2 linked regions of the Lonchura striata genome follow. The protein of the gene in region 1 interacts with the protein of each later gene in a pairwise test. Links are inferred from orthologs where the notes say so. Each region holds a gene or a part of one and is shown on either strand. Other genes may lie near its edges.

Region 1 (7,703 bases):
CATCTGAAACTCTTTCAGCGTATTTAACCTACATTTTGGACCCAAGCATGCTTTTTTTTCACTCAAAACTCCAACTGCTTCCAGTGTGAATTTTTGGTAGCCAGTTTAGGATTAGGCCTTTTGCTTTATGAGGTAGGAAGATGACACAAACATTTTTACAGTAAAAAACAATTTATTTCAAACAACAGAGTAAAACGGATGACTGGGCAGAACAGTTGGAAGGGTTAATACTGAAGGAAATATTTTTATTTTTGAAACCTGAGACAGAAATTTAAAAACAAGTATTTTTAATCCAGTTGGAGAATTGTGTAGAGTATATACAGCATTGTGGCAGAATGCTACCTACTTGAATACAACATGCTTAACCATATTTTGCTGCCTTTCTATGGAGTAAATAGTGAATATTGCCATGGAACGAGAATGTTCAGTTTCCTGGAATTAATCCAGATTTATACCCATCCAACAAAACGAATTTTTTTCATGCTTTAATGAGCCAGTGATGATGCATTATAAATTAGTTAAACATCAGATCATGTTGGTTATAATTCCTGCTATGTAATGTCAGTAGCTCTCATTAAAAACAAAACAAAACAAAAACAAAAACAAACAAAAAAAAAGAGCACATTTGATTCTACTTCTGCTTGTACAGCTCTTCTCTCTTAAATACAATGGATAAGATTCAAAATGCCCTTAAGTGTCTGATTCCAGAATCAAAGAAGGTTAAAAGCACTTGTTAATAAGAACCAGGAAAACAGAGCTTTTCTCCTTCTGTTAAAACATGCCTTGGATGTTTTAATGTTGACAAATATAGGTAACATGACATTTCAACTTTCATGTAGGTGAGCAATTAAGAAAAAAACCAAACCCCTTTTGTTTATGTTCCAAAACTTAGTGTTGTTTTAATGTCATATCTGTCAATGTCTCTTTAACAACTTGTGCCAGCAGGTTAAGCAAAGTACAACAAAACTTAGGTAATTGTTACATTATTATAGACTCCATAGCTACTAGATACACACACAAAGTATATAATCATAGTTTGCATTTTTATGGCACCTTTCATCTGAAGATCTAAGTACTTTAATAAGCATTAAGTAATTAAGCTTTCCATTGCCATGAACTGAGCAGTGAGCTGGCTTGTCCAACACAACAAGGGAAGAGCTGGGAACAGAATGCAAGACTTTAAGCTTTGCCTATGCAGGTGGAACACCAGACAAGTTTACACTCCCATCCTGGGAACCACAGTCTATCAAAGCTCACTATCAAGGATATTTTGTCACATCTCTTAGAAACCATTAAAAGTCCATGTTTATTTATGCATTCCCCAGGATGCATGCATATATGCATCATATGCATTAACAGAAACATACAAGCATATGTATAGGTACAGACCCCATTATATATAGACCCCATTATATATAGACCCTATTGTATACATATATACAGACATGCACGGAGACACAGATGTATCAGTGCTCATTGACAAAACTCTGCTGTCCTGGAACAAAGTCCAAACTTTTCACTGCAGAAGACTGAGACAATTTCACTCCCTTTTGTGTTGGATGTTTTTAAGTAAAACTGGGAATACAGAACATTTTGGGAATAATAATGGGAAATTATCACTCTGAAGGAGTAAAGCTTTACTTTGATATTGCAAAACATTAGATTTCCTATCAAATATTAAACACAGAATGCTCTTTCTTTAGGATACAAGATGAACCACAATGTAATTCTAAGGAAGCAATCTCTAAAGGCTAGTGGGGAATTATAAAAAATACCCTTACCATGTTTAAATGATGTGGTTCAACATTCTAAGACCTCTTTTTAGGCAGCACACAAGTATATACCAACAGCAAAAGTGTGTATTAAGGCAATGTCTTAAGTCCAGAGGTATTTCACACTTCATTGTGGAATTCTGCTATGAATAAGGTGCTTGCTAATAGAGGATATGTTTTGAAGTGTACTTCCCACTGCAAGCTATGTCACCATTTGTCATCTCCTCAGCAAGCACACAGAGCCTGTGGAATTTGTTTGACCCTCATCTATCTCAAGTGGGCCTATAAACCAAAGTTATTGACAGCTTTCCTCTATCAGACCCCTCTTAAAAAGAAGGCAGTTTTCCCCAAAGGACAGCTTCCGTGGGATCAGAGGGTCATTCCAACCAACACGGCAGTTGGCGTGCCCTGAGTCGCGCAAGCACGCGGGAGGGCTCATCCTTCCCTCGGCGTTTTCCACGGCGCGTTGTCAGCAGGTGCCGCGGCCCCGCCGCCGCCGTTTGGCGAACGAGGTGGGGCCGTGCGCCCGACCCACCCGCCGCACTGTCACGGGCGTCGCCGCCGCTCTGGGGCTGGGGCGCGGAGCGGGCAGTGCGGGCAGTGCGGTGCGGGCAGTGCGATGAGGGCAGTGCGATGAGGGCAGTACGATGCGGGCAGTGCGATGCGGGCAGTGCGATGAGGGCAGTGCGATGAGGGCAGTGTGATGAGGGCAGTGTGATGCGGGCAGTGCGATGCGGGCAGTGCGATGAGGGCAGTGTGATGCGGGCAGTGTGATGAGGGCAGTGCAGAGCGGGCAGTGCGGAGCGGGCAGTGCGATGCGGGCAGTGCGGAGCGGGCAGTGCGATGCGGGCAGTGCGATGAGGGCAGTGCGATGAGGGCAGTGTGATGAGGGCAGTGTGATGCGGGCAGTGCGATGCGGGCAGTGCGATGAGGGCAGTGTGATGCGGGCAGTGTGATGAGGGCAGTGTGATGAGGGCAGTGTGATGCGGGCAGTGCGGTGCGGGCAGTGTGATGCGGGCAGCGCAGGGGGAGCGGGCGGTGCGGAGCGGGCAGTGTGATGCGGGCAGTGTGATGAGGGCAGTGTGATGCGGGCAGTGTGATGCGGGCAGTGTGATGAGGGCAGTGCGGAGCGGGCAGTGCGATGAGGGCAGTGTGATGAGGGCAGTGTGATGAAGGCAGTGTGATGAGGGCAGTGTGATGCGGGCAGTGTGATGCGGGCAGTGTGATGAAGGCAGTGTGATGAGGGCAGTGTGATGCGGGCAGTGCGGAGCGGGCAGTGCGGTGCGGGCAGTGTGATGCGGGCAGTGCGGAGCGGGCAGTGTGATGCGGGCAGCGCAGGGGGAGCGGGCGGTGCGGAGCTGAGGCGCTGCCCGAGCCGGACGGAGCCGCCCCGCGGCTCCGGCGGAGCCGCCGCGCGCAGGCGCCGCGCGCCCGCTGCCGCAGCCCCGCCCGCGCGCGCGGGCCCCACGTTACTTTGACGGACAGCGCGGCCTCCCCGCTCTCCTTCCCGCCGACCTTCCCCGCCCCCCGCGGCGCCGCGCGCCCCGCGCCCTCCCATTGGCCGGCTCCGAGCGCGGCCGCCGCTCCGCCGCAGAGACGCGGCCCAGCGAGAGCCGGGAGGCGGCGCGACTCCGGCTCCTGCCATTGGGCCGCGGGGCCGCGCCGCGTCACGGGCCCACGTTGGCGGCGGGGCCGGCGATTGGCCGGCCGCCCCCCCGCGCGGCGGCGTGGGCGGGGCCGCGCGGCTGGTTAGCCGGCGGAGTGTGAAACCGCGTGCTAATGTAAGCGGCGCGGGCGAGCTCGGCGTGTCCAGCTCGGCCGCAGCCGCGCTCCGGTCCCGCCGAGCGCCGCCCGCCAGGCCGCCGCCTCGGCTTCTCCTTGCCCTTGGCCGGCGCGGAGGGGCCGGGGCAAAGGAAGCCGGTGGTGTTCCCGTTCGGATTTTTCAGCTGGGAGGAACTTTATCCCGGGCCACCGCGGAGGAGAGCGAGGATGAGGATGATGCTGCTGATGTTGCCGCGATGTATCGCGATAGGGGGGTTCTGGTGAGACGCGCAGCTCCCAGATACGCGCCCGCCAGTAAGAGGCTGTAGTGGTGGCTGTTGCACGAAGGAGCTTCCCGTCTGATTTGAACCTCAAACGAACGCTTTCATTTCTATTTTTTTTTTTCTTTTTTTTTTTTTTTTTAATCTTCCCCAACGGGGCTGGTTGCCTGGAGGCTAAAGCCAGCGAGCATCTTGAGGGGTTTGCTTTCCTTTTGTCCTGGGGACTTCTCTGCAACTAACGGCAGAGTCTGTGCTGCGTGTGTGGTACCCTTTCCTCTGCCCTCCAGCGTTTCGTGCATCTGCTATTGGAGCTGCTCCGATCCGCGACGTCTGTGCGAGAGCCCCCGCCCGCCTCCTTCCTCCTCCTCCTGCCTTCCTCCCTTGTTCATCGCCCTGTGTCTTGCGGGTGGTTTGGCCCCTGCGCCGACGCCTGGGAGCAACGCGTGCCTGCCTGGAGACTTTCTTCGCCCCCTCGGCTTGCGACGCTCCCGCCGCGGACACTGCGATCCCCTCCCTCCGGCTGGATTTTCCCCTTTTGACAAGGGGCAGAAGAGAAGAGTCGCCTCCGCCTGGGGTTTCCGGCCTTACAATCGCATCGACCACTGCGAGCCCGTGAAGGGGATTATTCGCTCCTGCCGAGGGGCGGCTGTTGCCTCCCCCCCGAGCCCCGTCGGGTCCCGTCCCGCCGCGCCCGGGCGTTGCGGGCGCCGCCCGCCGGTCGGAGCGCCGCCGAAAGAGCGCAGAGCGCTGGTGACCGTCCCAAGCGCGGCTCGTCCGCCTTTCCCGGCCATCTTCAGCCCTCCTTGGAACAACAGCAACAAAGGACGCCGCGGCTGGGGAATGTCCCCGCGGCGGGGGCACTGAGCCGCGCCTCGCCCCGCTGCTGCCCGCGGCGGCGGAGGGAAGGCCGTCGGCGGGTGTCGCCGCTCCGGTCCCCTTGGCGCACCGGGTGTGAAGCCGGGGCAGGGCAGGGCGTCTCGCCGCGAGAGCCGCGCTGCGAGGGAGACCCGCCGTGGCCGGAGCCATGTTCCCCCAGAGCCGGCACCCCGTAAGTATGGCTTGGGCCGCCGGTCCGGGGCGAGGGCCGGGCGGTCCGCAGCGCAGCTCCAGCTCGGTTGCTCGGCTGGAACTGGGGGGAGGGAGAGGAAGGTGCCCTCACAAGTTCATTCTCTCCGGGGTCGAGCGGCTAATCCTGCCTGCCGGAACGGCCCCCAGTATTTTTTGTTGCGTGGGCAACTTACTTGCCTTGGGAAGGACGGCGGGGGCTTGCCGCCGGGCCAGGCAGCATCCGCCAACACACAGCGCCCGGAACGGGGCTGGCTGTGCCTCTGCGGCGGGGGTCGGCGGGGAGGAGTCGGCACTTCCCGCTTTCGTGTAGACGGCGGCGGCAGGAGCGGGTGGGTCGGATCCGGAGGGCGGTTAACCTCGGTCCCACCGCAGATGAGGGACGGGAAGGTGGGTAACAAGTGCGCTGCGCCCCGGGGCGGAGGCGGACCGGGCCGGACGCTTTCTCTAGCCCTCCGCCTCGGCCGCGATGGACGGCGCCCCCTCCTCTTCCTCGCGGGGTGGCCGCGCAGTGTCTGAACGTGCATCTCTCTCCCGTGCCGCCACCGCGCCAGACCCCGCACCAGGCTGCGGGCCAGCCTTTTAAATTCACCATCCCGGAGTCGCTGGACCGCATCAAAGAAGAGTTCCAGTTCCTCCAGGCGCAGTACCACAGGTGAGCGGCGGCGGGCCGCCCCGGGACCAGGGACTACCGCGCGGTCCCCGCCGGCGCGGGGCTGCACCGAACGGGCGCGTCCAGGCGGTGGCGTGCGGCGTCGCGGCCGAGCCCCGCGGGGACCCCGCCGGGCCGGGAGGGGAGCGCGGGCGGCCCCGGCCCGGCGCGGGCTGCCGGGGGGACCGGGCGCGCACGGGGGACAGCCCTGCCCTGCGCGGGCCCGTGCTTGAACTGCCGAAACTGGAGCGTTCGGCAGCTCTGTGCGTTTGAAAAAACACGCTGTGTCTTGGGAACCCGTATGTGGAGGGGTCATTTCAGTGTATCACGGGAAGACCTGCGCCGGTTCTGTGGCACAGCGCGTTAAGGAGGCTACTTCTCCTGTTTGCTCATTTGTGTGTGGTGTTAATGCAAAAATTAATAAAATGCCAGCGTCCTGTGGTTGAGAGTCAGGAAGGACGGTTAAAACAAACAAGTACTCAGAGCAGTAACAAAGTTTACCAGAATCCTTGGAAGTTGCGGGATGCACGTCTCGTTGCTGCCCTTCTTTGTGGGTGTGTGCGTGCTGCTGAGGTCCTTCCAGAGATTTAGGGTACAGATTCTTTTTGACCCTGGACATGTGGTGTTAAGGAGCATTAATCTTCACTGATTTTGTACTTATGAGCACCTGGAATATTTGGACAGAAGTAAAAGCTTTACAGGTTTCCCAGTCAGAAATTGATTTGTTTTAGTTATGCTTCCTCTTCCTTTACCTATGATACTGTAGCGTTAACTTGCTTAAGCCATTCATTGCTTAGGAAATACAATTTAAACTCTAAACATCTGGCTTTGTAGCTGTGAGTGAAAAATACTGCTTGCACATGAACTGTTCAATAGGATGTTCACAAGTAACAGTTTTAAAAAAATCAGTTTGATAGAAAACAAAGGGAACATTGAGGCTCTCGGTGAAAGTAGTCAGAATTATATCATGGTTTGTGATGAGACATGTAAATGCAACTTACTTTTGTTTATGAAAACAAAAGTGGAAAAGAAACTTGCCAGTAAACGATACTCAGAATTACCAGTTTTCAAGCACTGGGCAAGGTAACATTTGCTAGAATGTATTTAAGGTAAGAATTATACTCGAGTTGTAATTGTAAATGTGAGTGGTGTTACTTGGCAGTCACTTACTAAATGCTGTGTAGAAAGAAATGCTTCTATTTTTATCTTTTTTACTCCTGAAAAGTACTTACAGTAAATTCAGATCCTATTCTAACTTGCAAGTTGCAGCACTTAATAGCAGCTCTTTGTCAAAATAGGAAGAGTGGATATGTTTAGTTTCTGTAGACAGTTCAGGCCTAATACAGCACTCAAGGCATGTTCTTTAAATTTCTTCTTTGGCCTTTTTATTTCAAGTATGATTAAGTCTTTCTATATTGCAAGTCAGTTTATTATTTTTTTTATTAATTAGCAGCTTATGTCAAAATACAAATAGGGAGGGTAGATGCCAAAAAAAATGACATGTTACATTAAAGCATGATCTATTTTGTAGCCTTAAATTGGAATGTGAGAAACTGGCAAGTGAAAAGACGGAAATGCAGAGGCATTATGTGATGGTAAGTATATTTGTTTTTATCTTTATTTCAATAAATATCTTTTAATATAATGTAAGTCAGCATAAGAAAATAACGTGTACTCATTTATTTGCAGTACTATGAAATGTCGTATGGATTAAACATTGAAATGCACAAACAGGTAAGACATTTTGTTTTCGAAGCCGCAAAATCTGCAGTCTGTCTGGTGCATTTAAATGTATCTGTGCTGTTTATGGTCAGATGACGGTATCGTGTCTGAATCAATAGCCTGATTTGTAGCCTGATTAGTAGTCTTTTGCCTACCTCCTGTCAGATAAGGTGTAGATTAGGTTAAGTGGCAGCACCTTTTTTGGTATTGGTTCTGAAAGACTTTGGCATAAATAGAAAAGATCTTGTAGCTGTGATTTTAAAAATGCAGTTCAGTTCTTTGCAAGTATGAGATATTTTGAGTTGGGTTTCTTTTTGTTTGTTTGTTTTGTTACTGGTATAGGCGCTGACATGTAGAACTGATCCTGTGTCTGTGTAACATATGTAGTCATAGTTACTCATATCCCAGCCTTATAGAGGTATGAACAGATTAGTGACTTGGAAAGATCTA
Region 2 (7,215 bases), on another chromosome or scaffold:
TTAATGAGGATGCCTGTAAGGCATTTAGGAACTAATATAAATATCTTGCAGAGGAGGACTGTGATACACACAGCCTTGTTACAAACATAGCATAAAACCCATGATGAAGACAGCCCCATGATAAAGATAACTTTCAATTACCAAAAATATTAGAGACATCAAATACAAGAGGCTTCCCTGGAAACACAATGTTACTGCTCCCTTCAGCACCACAGGCAGCCTCTGGAGTTTTTTATCCAACTGTACTTGCTTCAGACAATTATTCTCACCCCTCTGAAATACCTTCCACAAACATAATGTGCCCAGGCGATGCTCTCTGCAACAGGATCCTGCCACAGTCAGTGACAGACCACAGCTAAATGGCAGGAGCTGAAGCAGTTTGCAAAGCTTTATGAGTTCAGGCTTCTCTTTGCAGGAGGCTAGCAGGGTGACAAGGTAAGAAACATGGCACTGAGGGTTTTGCTGGGGCAGTGCCCCCGTGCACAGCACCCATCCATCCCTCACCACCGGGAGAGGCTCTGCTCTCCTCTCTGCTTGCTCAGCACAGCCCCTCACCATTGCTTCCATTAGGAAATCACCACCTCTGAAATGGCAAAAAGTCAAAGTACCTTTGACAGAAGGCTGGGCCCGTCTTCTCAGGCAAAAGGGACCCCCAGCTTCCACAGGAACAAATGCAGTCGAGGGGCTCCTCTGTGAATGGACATAAGACCCTTTTGAACGCTACTCATTAGTGTTTTGGCTGGCATGAACTGTTCCTCTGTGCCCCAGCTGATGAACACTAGCACTGCTGCCAAGTCTGCTGATAAATAAATAAGGATAGGAAAAGCCTTATGGTTTCTGAAAAGGGCAGCAGGAACTCAGTGCTCAAGGCAGCAAACACAATTTGCAGTAACAAACAGACTGGAGTCCAAGAGCAGCTCAGTGGTGACATTCAACCCTATTTTCCTCTTAAACATCAGCTATTAACAGCAGAGAAATCGATGGCACTGAGGGCAGCTAGGATCCAGCTGATGGGGAATGCTGCAGCCTTCTCCCAACAGCCTTCCTCATTCACTCCATTTATCACCTACAGCCTCAGCTCTTCCAGCTCCAGCCTCACTCCTCTGCTCCTCAGCTCTGCAAGCAGGACTAATCTTCATCAGTGACAAGGCAAGAGACTAATTACAGTACACATTTCATTTGTGACTGGACCCCAGGGAAAGGAGGAGGGGGAAGAAAGCTTTCGGCTTGCTCTGCCAGCTAAACAGTTTGTATTTGTTAGTGCAGAAATAAGTCCGATGGCAGCCAACTGATGCATAAGGAGCAGCTCACCCATTAACCTCACATCCACAGTTCACACCCACCACCATTTATATGCACCATTAATATTTATAAGGATGACGTGTCTTTTTGACAGGAACTTGTGCCTCCAGTGACAACAGATGTTATACCATTTATGAAAGAAACTACTCAAGCATTTCCAATGGACCTTGTGCATGCTCATCATGTCTTTATCCCGTGCCCTGATTGTATTATTCACACAGAGCCTGGGTCACCTCCTGACTCCAGTCCAAGGGCATGCATGGCAGACACACTTGCCTGTAGAGTACTCAAAAATGCTTTGAGCTTTATTATGTCTTTGTGAATGCTCTTCTGGGAGACAGAGACCTTCCAAATGCACCTGCCAACTGAAACAGAAGCGTGCGAGGCCATGACGTGTCAGAAATGAGGATCTGGCACTTAGCTGGGTCTCCAAAATGCATGGCACATAGCTGAGGCTCCAGGATGGCCTCCCACAATTGCCCTTGCCACTGTCACCACAGCTGCATTAGTGCTCATGCACCTCCTAGAAAGAATTAAAGCCTGTTTTATAGTGTGTTATACTACTCTACACACAGGCTTGCAGGAGAACACATGCAGCAAGGCCCAGATGCTATTATCTCTGCTAAAATGATGCTGTTCCTTGGCCAAACTGCCATTTATAGCTTGTGTAGGAGCCTGTCTCTGGCAGGACAGAGCTCCCTGCTCTAGCAAAGGTTAAACTCCCACCCTTCATGCAGGAGGAAGCAGTGCCTGTACACATCCCCTCAGCAGGGAGCAGGATGGGCTTAACCTGGTTAAAATACAGATGAATTGATGGGTTTAGTGAAATCTTCAGGAGCCACCACACATGGACAAACACCGAGGTATTGGACAAGGCATCTAAGCAATGTTCTCTTTCACTAGATTGCAGTTGACATTTCTATTAAAATGCATGAGATTACCATGATTCGCTTCACCTGATGTGATGGAACTTGTTTAAAGTAGCACAAAAATGTCACATTGTCCCTGTGGGCTAGAGGAGATAGCCTGCAGTGACTTCCTCCTCCAGAATAGCAGCTCTAGTGATGCCCTGATATTTATGGCACATGCATTTTTAATGCCCTGCACAAACAGCTCCAGCATTTGTCAACTCATTTGACCTGCAGCTTTTCAAAGAAAATACAAAAAGACACGCTGCAGAACAAGAGCCAGCAATATGTACAACGCCTTGCCATCAGCACCTGCCCAGTCAGAGCAGAAACAGGATGGTACAGCCATGGCCAACTCTTTCTGGCCATTTTTAGCCAAGATTTGCTGCTGAAGTCTCCTCGTGCATCCAGAAGTGCTCACCTTGTGCCTCCAGCTCCTCACTGCTCAAAAACTCAGATGGAGGCTTGTGAGAGATCATTGCTGTTCAGCAGCCACCAGAGTTTCATCTGACACATCTGAACCTCGACTGGGGTGAATTCGGGAGCTCCTTCCCTTCTCACTTCTCTACGTTAACAAAGCAGTGCCTCAAACCCAAGTTAGCTGTGAAACACAGCTGGTACAAACACCTGCAGTGAAGAGGCCTGGCAGGTTTGGGGACTGCACAGGATTTACACCAGTGTTAATCTCACTGTTTGAGCAGGGAATAAATGAATATTTGTTTGGTTTGCTTTTACCCCCACCAGTAACCAGGCCCACCCACTTCCCCCCACTCCCATTCTAGGAAAAGCTGAGCTTTCTCTGAAAAGAAAAAGAGCTCACAAACGCTTGGAATTCATATTTTACCAACAATTACATACATTGTGTGTTACAGCACATTTACCGGATGTTTGTGTGCATTTGTGTATTTTTATACACCTCTGATGCCTTAGGTGCCTAGTTTTGGTTCAGAACAAGGACAGTTCTTCAAAATTGTGACACCCATTACTTTGCTGCAGTTTGCATGCACGCAGTCATGGTTCTCCCCTGCCACTTAGGTAGGCTAAGTATGCATCAGCCAGGCACAGAATGGTCACAGGTGTCTCTGCTTCAGTACAAGAATGTTCTGTATTTGGCCTGGTCCAAACAGTATTTCTGCTTAGCCAGCACTAGTTATATCATCAAAAAGAATGAGCTGCTTGCCACATTGTGTCACGCAGAGAATTCAGTGCATCAGAGGCAGAAGGACAGATTTAGGCATCCAGCCCCCAGTACATCCCACTCTGCTCCTGCCTGGTGCAGGGAAACTTGTCACCACCTGAACAGACTCTGACAAAACCCAAGCACTGATGCTTTCACATAAAAGGACAAAACACACCAGAAAACACCTTTCTGAAAACAACACCTCCTGTCCACCGTGATACAAAACAAAGAGTGGCCCAAGCTTAGGTCTCCAGCCAGGATATCCCACGGCCTGGCTTTATCCTTCTGCACTCCGTGATGGCTTTGGGCAGGCAGTGCCGAGCCTCTCCGTCCTCTCCTGTCACACAGGGATTAGCACGGCGTAGGCACGGAGCTTTTCAGGGCGCTTTGAAGATGAAAAGCAGCGCTGAGCAGCGGCGGACTGCCGGCAGCAAGGGCCAGCCCGGCCTTTCCCGGAGCAGGTGCCGGTACCCGCCGGGCCCGCCCGGCACCCACCCCGCCGTGGCTCCAGCTCATCAGACCTCTCCGCAAGGAAAGCTTCAGCACCAGCAAAGGCAAAGGGGAGACAAACCGGGAGGAAGCCGGAGCAGGAGGGGAGCGAGCGGGCGGCTCCGCGCCGCCAGCGCCGCTGCAAGCGGGGAACGCGTCTCCCGTTTCCTCGGGCGGCAAAAACATGACACGCATTAGCGAGGAGAATAAAAGCAGGGAAACAAAGGAGCGGGAGCGAACACCTGTCGCTCTCCTCGGGGACGAGCCCTAATGCTTTTATTTGCCTCGGTCTGCCGGGGAACTGCAGCTGCCAACTGTCATCAGCGTCAAGTTACCGCACAAAGCTGCGCGGCTCTTTCAGCCGGGGCGGCACCGAGCTCTCCGCTGCCCGTGGCCACCGGGCAGGGAGCAGCCCCGGGGCTGGGGATGCGCTGCACCGCCGAGCAGCCGCGGAGCCCCGCACAGCCACGGCCGCAAGGAGCGCGTCCTGCCGGGCTGGCACCGCGCCCCGGCCCGAGAGCCGCCCCATCCGCTGGCACGGGCAGGACAAGACCGGTTCCGTGGCCAGCTGTGCCTGCTTAGTCCCACGGCTTCCCGGTCACGGCTCAGACCGACTCTGGCACGCCCAGGTCGGTGCTGATGCCCCGCCGGTAGCTAGCCGGCCCCGCTGTGCTCTCCGTTCCACGAGCACCCCGGCGCGCACACACGGGCGTTCCGCGGCCCTGGGCCCGGAACGGGCGCTGGGCTTTGGGCTTCACTGGGGCACGCTGCCGGCAGGGGCGCGGCCCGGCTCAGTACGGCACGGCAGGGCACGACCCGGTTCGGCCCGGCCCGGCTCGGCATCGCTCAGTACGGCACGGCCCGGCATGGCCCGGCACGGCCCGGCACGGCACGGCCCGGTACAGCACGGAAAGGCGCGGCACAGCACGGCCCGGTACAGCACGGAAAGGCGCCGCACGGCACGGCCCGCGCCCGCTGCGGGCCCGGGCCCAGCGCCGGGCCGCTCCGGCCGCCCCGCCCCGCCGCAGACAAAGCGCGCGGCCGCCATTGGCCCGTTCGGCCAACGCTCGGCGCGGCCCGCGCGGCGCGGCCAATGGGCTCATTGACATGCAAATCGCGGGGTATAAAAGCGGCGGCGCGGGGCGGGAGCGGCGCGCAGCGAGCGGAGCGGCCATGGCGCCGGGCACGGAGCGCCCGCCGCACGGCGAGGGCTGCGCGGGGCCCCGCGGCGACCGGAGGGTGAGCGGCGGGCGGGGCCGGGCCCGGAGGGGCGGCGGGGGGCGGGCTGACGGCGCTGTTGTCCCCGCAGACGAGGAAGCCGCTGGTGGAGAAGAAGCGCCGGGCGCGCATCAACGAGAGCCTGCGGGAGCTGCGGCTGCTGCTGGCCGACAGCGAGGTGAGGCGGCGGCGCGGCGGGGCGGGGGCCGGCGGGGCCCGGGGCCGCGCTGACGGCCGCGGCGCCCCGGGTCAGTTTCAGGCGAAGCTGGAGAACGCGGAGGTGCTGGAGCGGACGGTGCGGCGGGTGCGGGCCGCGCTGGAGCGCCGCGCCCGCGGTGAGTGCCGGCCCGGGGCGCGGCGGGGGGCGGCCGGCCCGGCCCGCGCCTCGCCCGCGCCCCTCGCTGCGCCCCGCGCCGCAGCGGCCGGGCGGCGGCTCCTGGAGGCCAGCGAGCGCTTCGCCGCCGGCTACATCCAGTGCATGCACGAGGTGCACACCTTCGTCTCCAGCTGCCCCGGCATCGACGCCACCACGGCGGCCGAGCTGCTCAACCACCTGCTGGAGTCCATGCCCCTCAGCGAGGGCGGCTGCCCGGACTCGCTCACGGACCTTGCCGGGGAGCCGGCGCTCGGGCCCTGGCCCGCCGGCCGGGCGCCGGTGCCGCCGGCCGCAGCCCGCCCGGGCCCGGCGCTGCCCGGCCCCGGCGCGGAGACCCGCTCGGGCCCGGGCCAGACCGACACGGACGGACTGCTCGCGTCCCTGACGCGGGGCCTGCCCTCGCCCGGCTCGCCCAAATCCATGTGGAGACCCTGGTAACAGCGGAGCGCAGTCAGCGCGACCTGCCTGCGGTTCGGTGTGGGTGTCCGTGTGTCCGTGCGTGTGCCTGCCCGTGTGAGTGTCTGTGTGTCTGTCTGTGAGTGTGTGCGCGGCTGGCAGCGCTGTCACTGCGGACTCGGCACTGATGCTGTCGCACCCTGACAGCCTAATCGGGAACGCGTTAACATTTCATCCCCCGTGTGTGGCATTTTGTAACTTTTGGGGTTTTTTTTACGAGAGGATTGGGGGGGGGGGGAGGAGGGAAGTGGTTTGTAGTAGCAGAGCTCTCTGGTGGAGACACAGCAGTTATAACTCTGTTTCTTCTTGGCCCTTAGAAGCGGCCCAAACACCACTACCTTTTGAGCAAAAACCCTTGTGCATTTTAAATCGTGATAGTTAATGCCGAGAGAAGCTGGAGCTAAGTCTGCATGCACGGTTTTAAGCGTTCTAGTGATAGCATAGACCCCTGAAGGGTGTCTGTACCTGATAGCAGCCTAAAGTCTCACCTTTAGCAAAGGGAGAGAAAACTAGAAACTTGGTGGAAATAGACGTTTTAAAAGATGTTGGTGACAGGGTGCCTTTTAGAAACGAGTGTCTTTATGCACATTTTGCTTTTAGCACATTTGAATTTATTGTGACTTTATGTATATTAGGGTGTCAAATGTTTTTTTTATTTTTAATCTTTAATAAAAAAAACCCTGAATTCACAACGTGGCATATATTGTGTAATGTGGTACTCTTCTAACTGTTTAAAAACATTAAAAATACAGCTCCTCTTGTTGGCTCTTAACACCAGTATATCATGGAAACAATGCTGGTAATTAAGCACTCAATTATTGTACTAAGCATTGTTAACTATTGGAATTCAAATATTTCTTTTGTCTAATTCTAGTTGACACTTAAGTTTATTGAATGAGCAAGGTCAGACTGGCTGAGGTTGGTCCTAGGCCACAGAGTTTGAGGCTGGTTGGTCGGGATGCCAGGCTCAAGCCTGTTCTACTTGATCTGCCCTCTGAAGGCGTTGCTCACACATGCACAGCCCTAACTTCAGAAGTGCTAGGCAAATCCTGTCCTGGGGCAGAACTTCACAGGAGGGTGGTTTGCTTTTTGGGGTTTTTTTTTGTTGGTGGAGAGTGAAATAAGACTATTGAATAGAGTGTGCAGTAGATTTGAAAAGTGTTCTGTAATGTTTCTGGGGGCTTGGAGGGGGTCCCTCAGCATTCTTATCCTGATTCCTGCTTTGGGGAGGTGGAAGGTTATTTCTGCTGTGATACAATACCTTTCAGAGAGCTGTCATTGTAAAG

Evidence for each region.
Region 2: the proteins of transducin-like enhancer protein 1 (region 1) and transcription cofactor HES-6 interact in binary tests that used the Homo sapiens proteins (3 or more experiments, as listed by UniProt). The link is inferred for Lonchura striata from reciprocal best matches to the Homo sapiens genes TLE1 and HES6.

The regions. Positions count from the first base shown.
Region 1 is NC_134642.1:25,609,878-25,617,580, reverse strand, and holds the start of transducin-like enhancer protein 1, read left to right. Parts: upstream 1-4,505; 5' UTR 4,506-4,838; coding exon 4,839-4,862; intron 4,863-5,180; exon of another isoform or gene 5,181-5,254; coding exon of another isoform or gene 5,255-5,269; intron 5,270-5,433; coding exon 5,434-5,534; intron 5,535-7,062; coding exon 7,063-7,126; intron 7,127-7,220; coding exon 7,221-7,265; intron 7,266-7,703. UniProt on the Homo sapiens protein: Transcriptional corepressor that binds to a number of transcription factors. Inhibits NF-kappa-B-regulated gene expression. Inhibits the transcriptional activation mediated by FOXA2, and by CTNNB1 and TCF family members in Wnt signaling.
Region 2 is NC_134612.1:2,192,376-2,199,590, reverse strand, and holds transcription cofactor HES-6, read left to right. Parts: upstream 1-5,052; coding exon 5,053-5,118; intron 5,119-5,188; coding exon 5,189-5,275; intron 5,276-5,350; coding exon 5,351-5,432; intron 5,433-5,516; coding exon 5,517-5,911; 3' UTR 5,912-6,628; downstream 6,629-7,215. UniProt on the Homo sapiens protein: Does not bind DNA itself but suppresses both HES1-mediated N box-dependent transcriptional repression and binding of HES1 to E box sequences.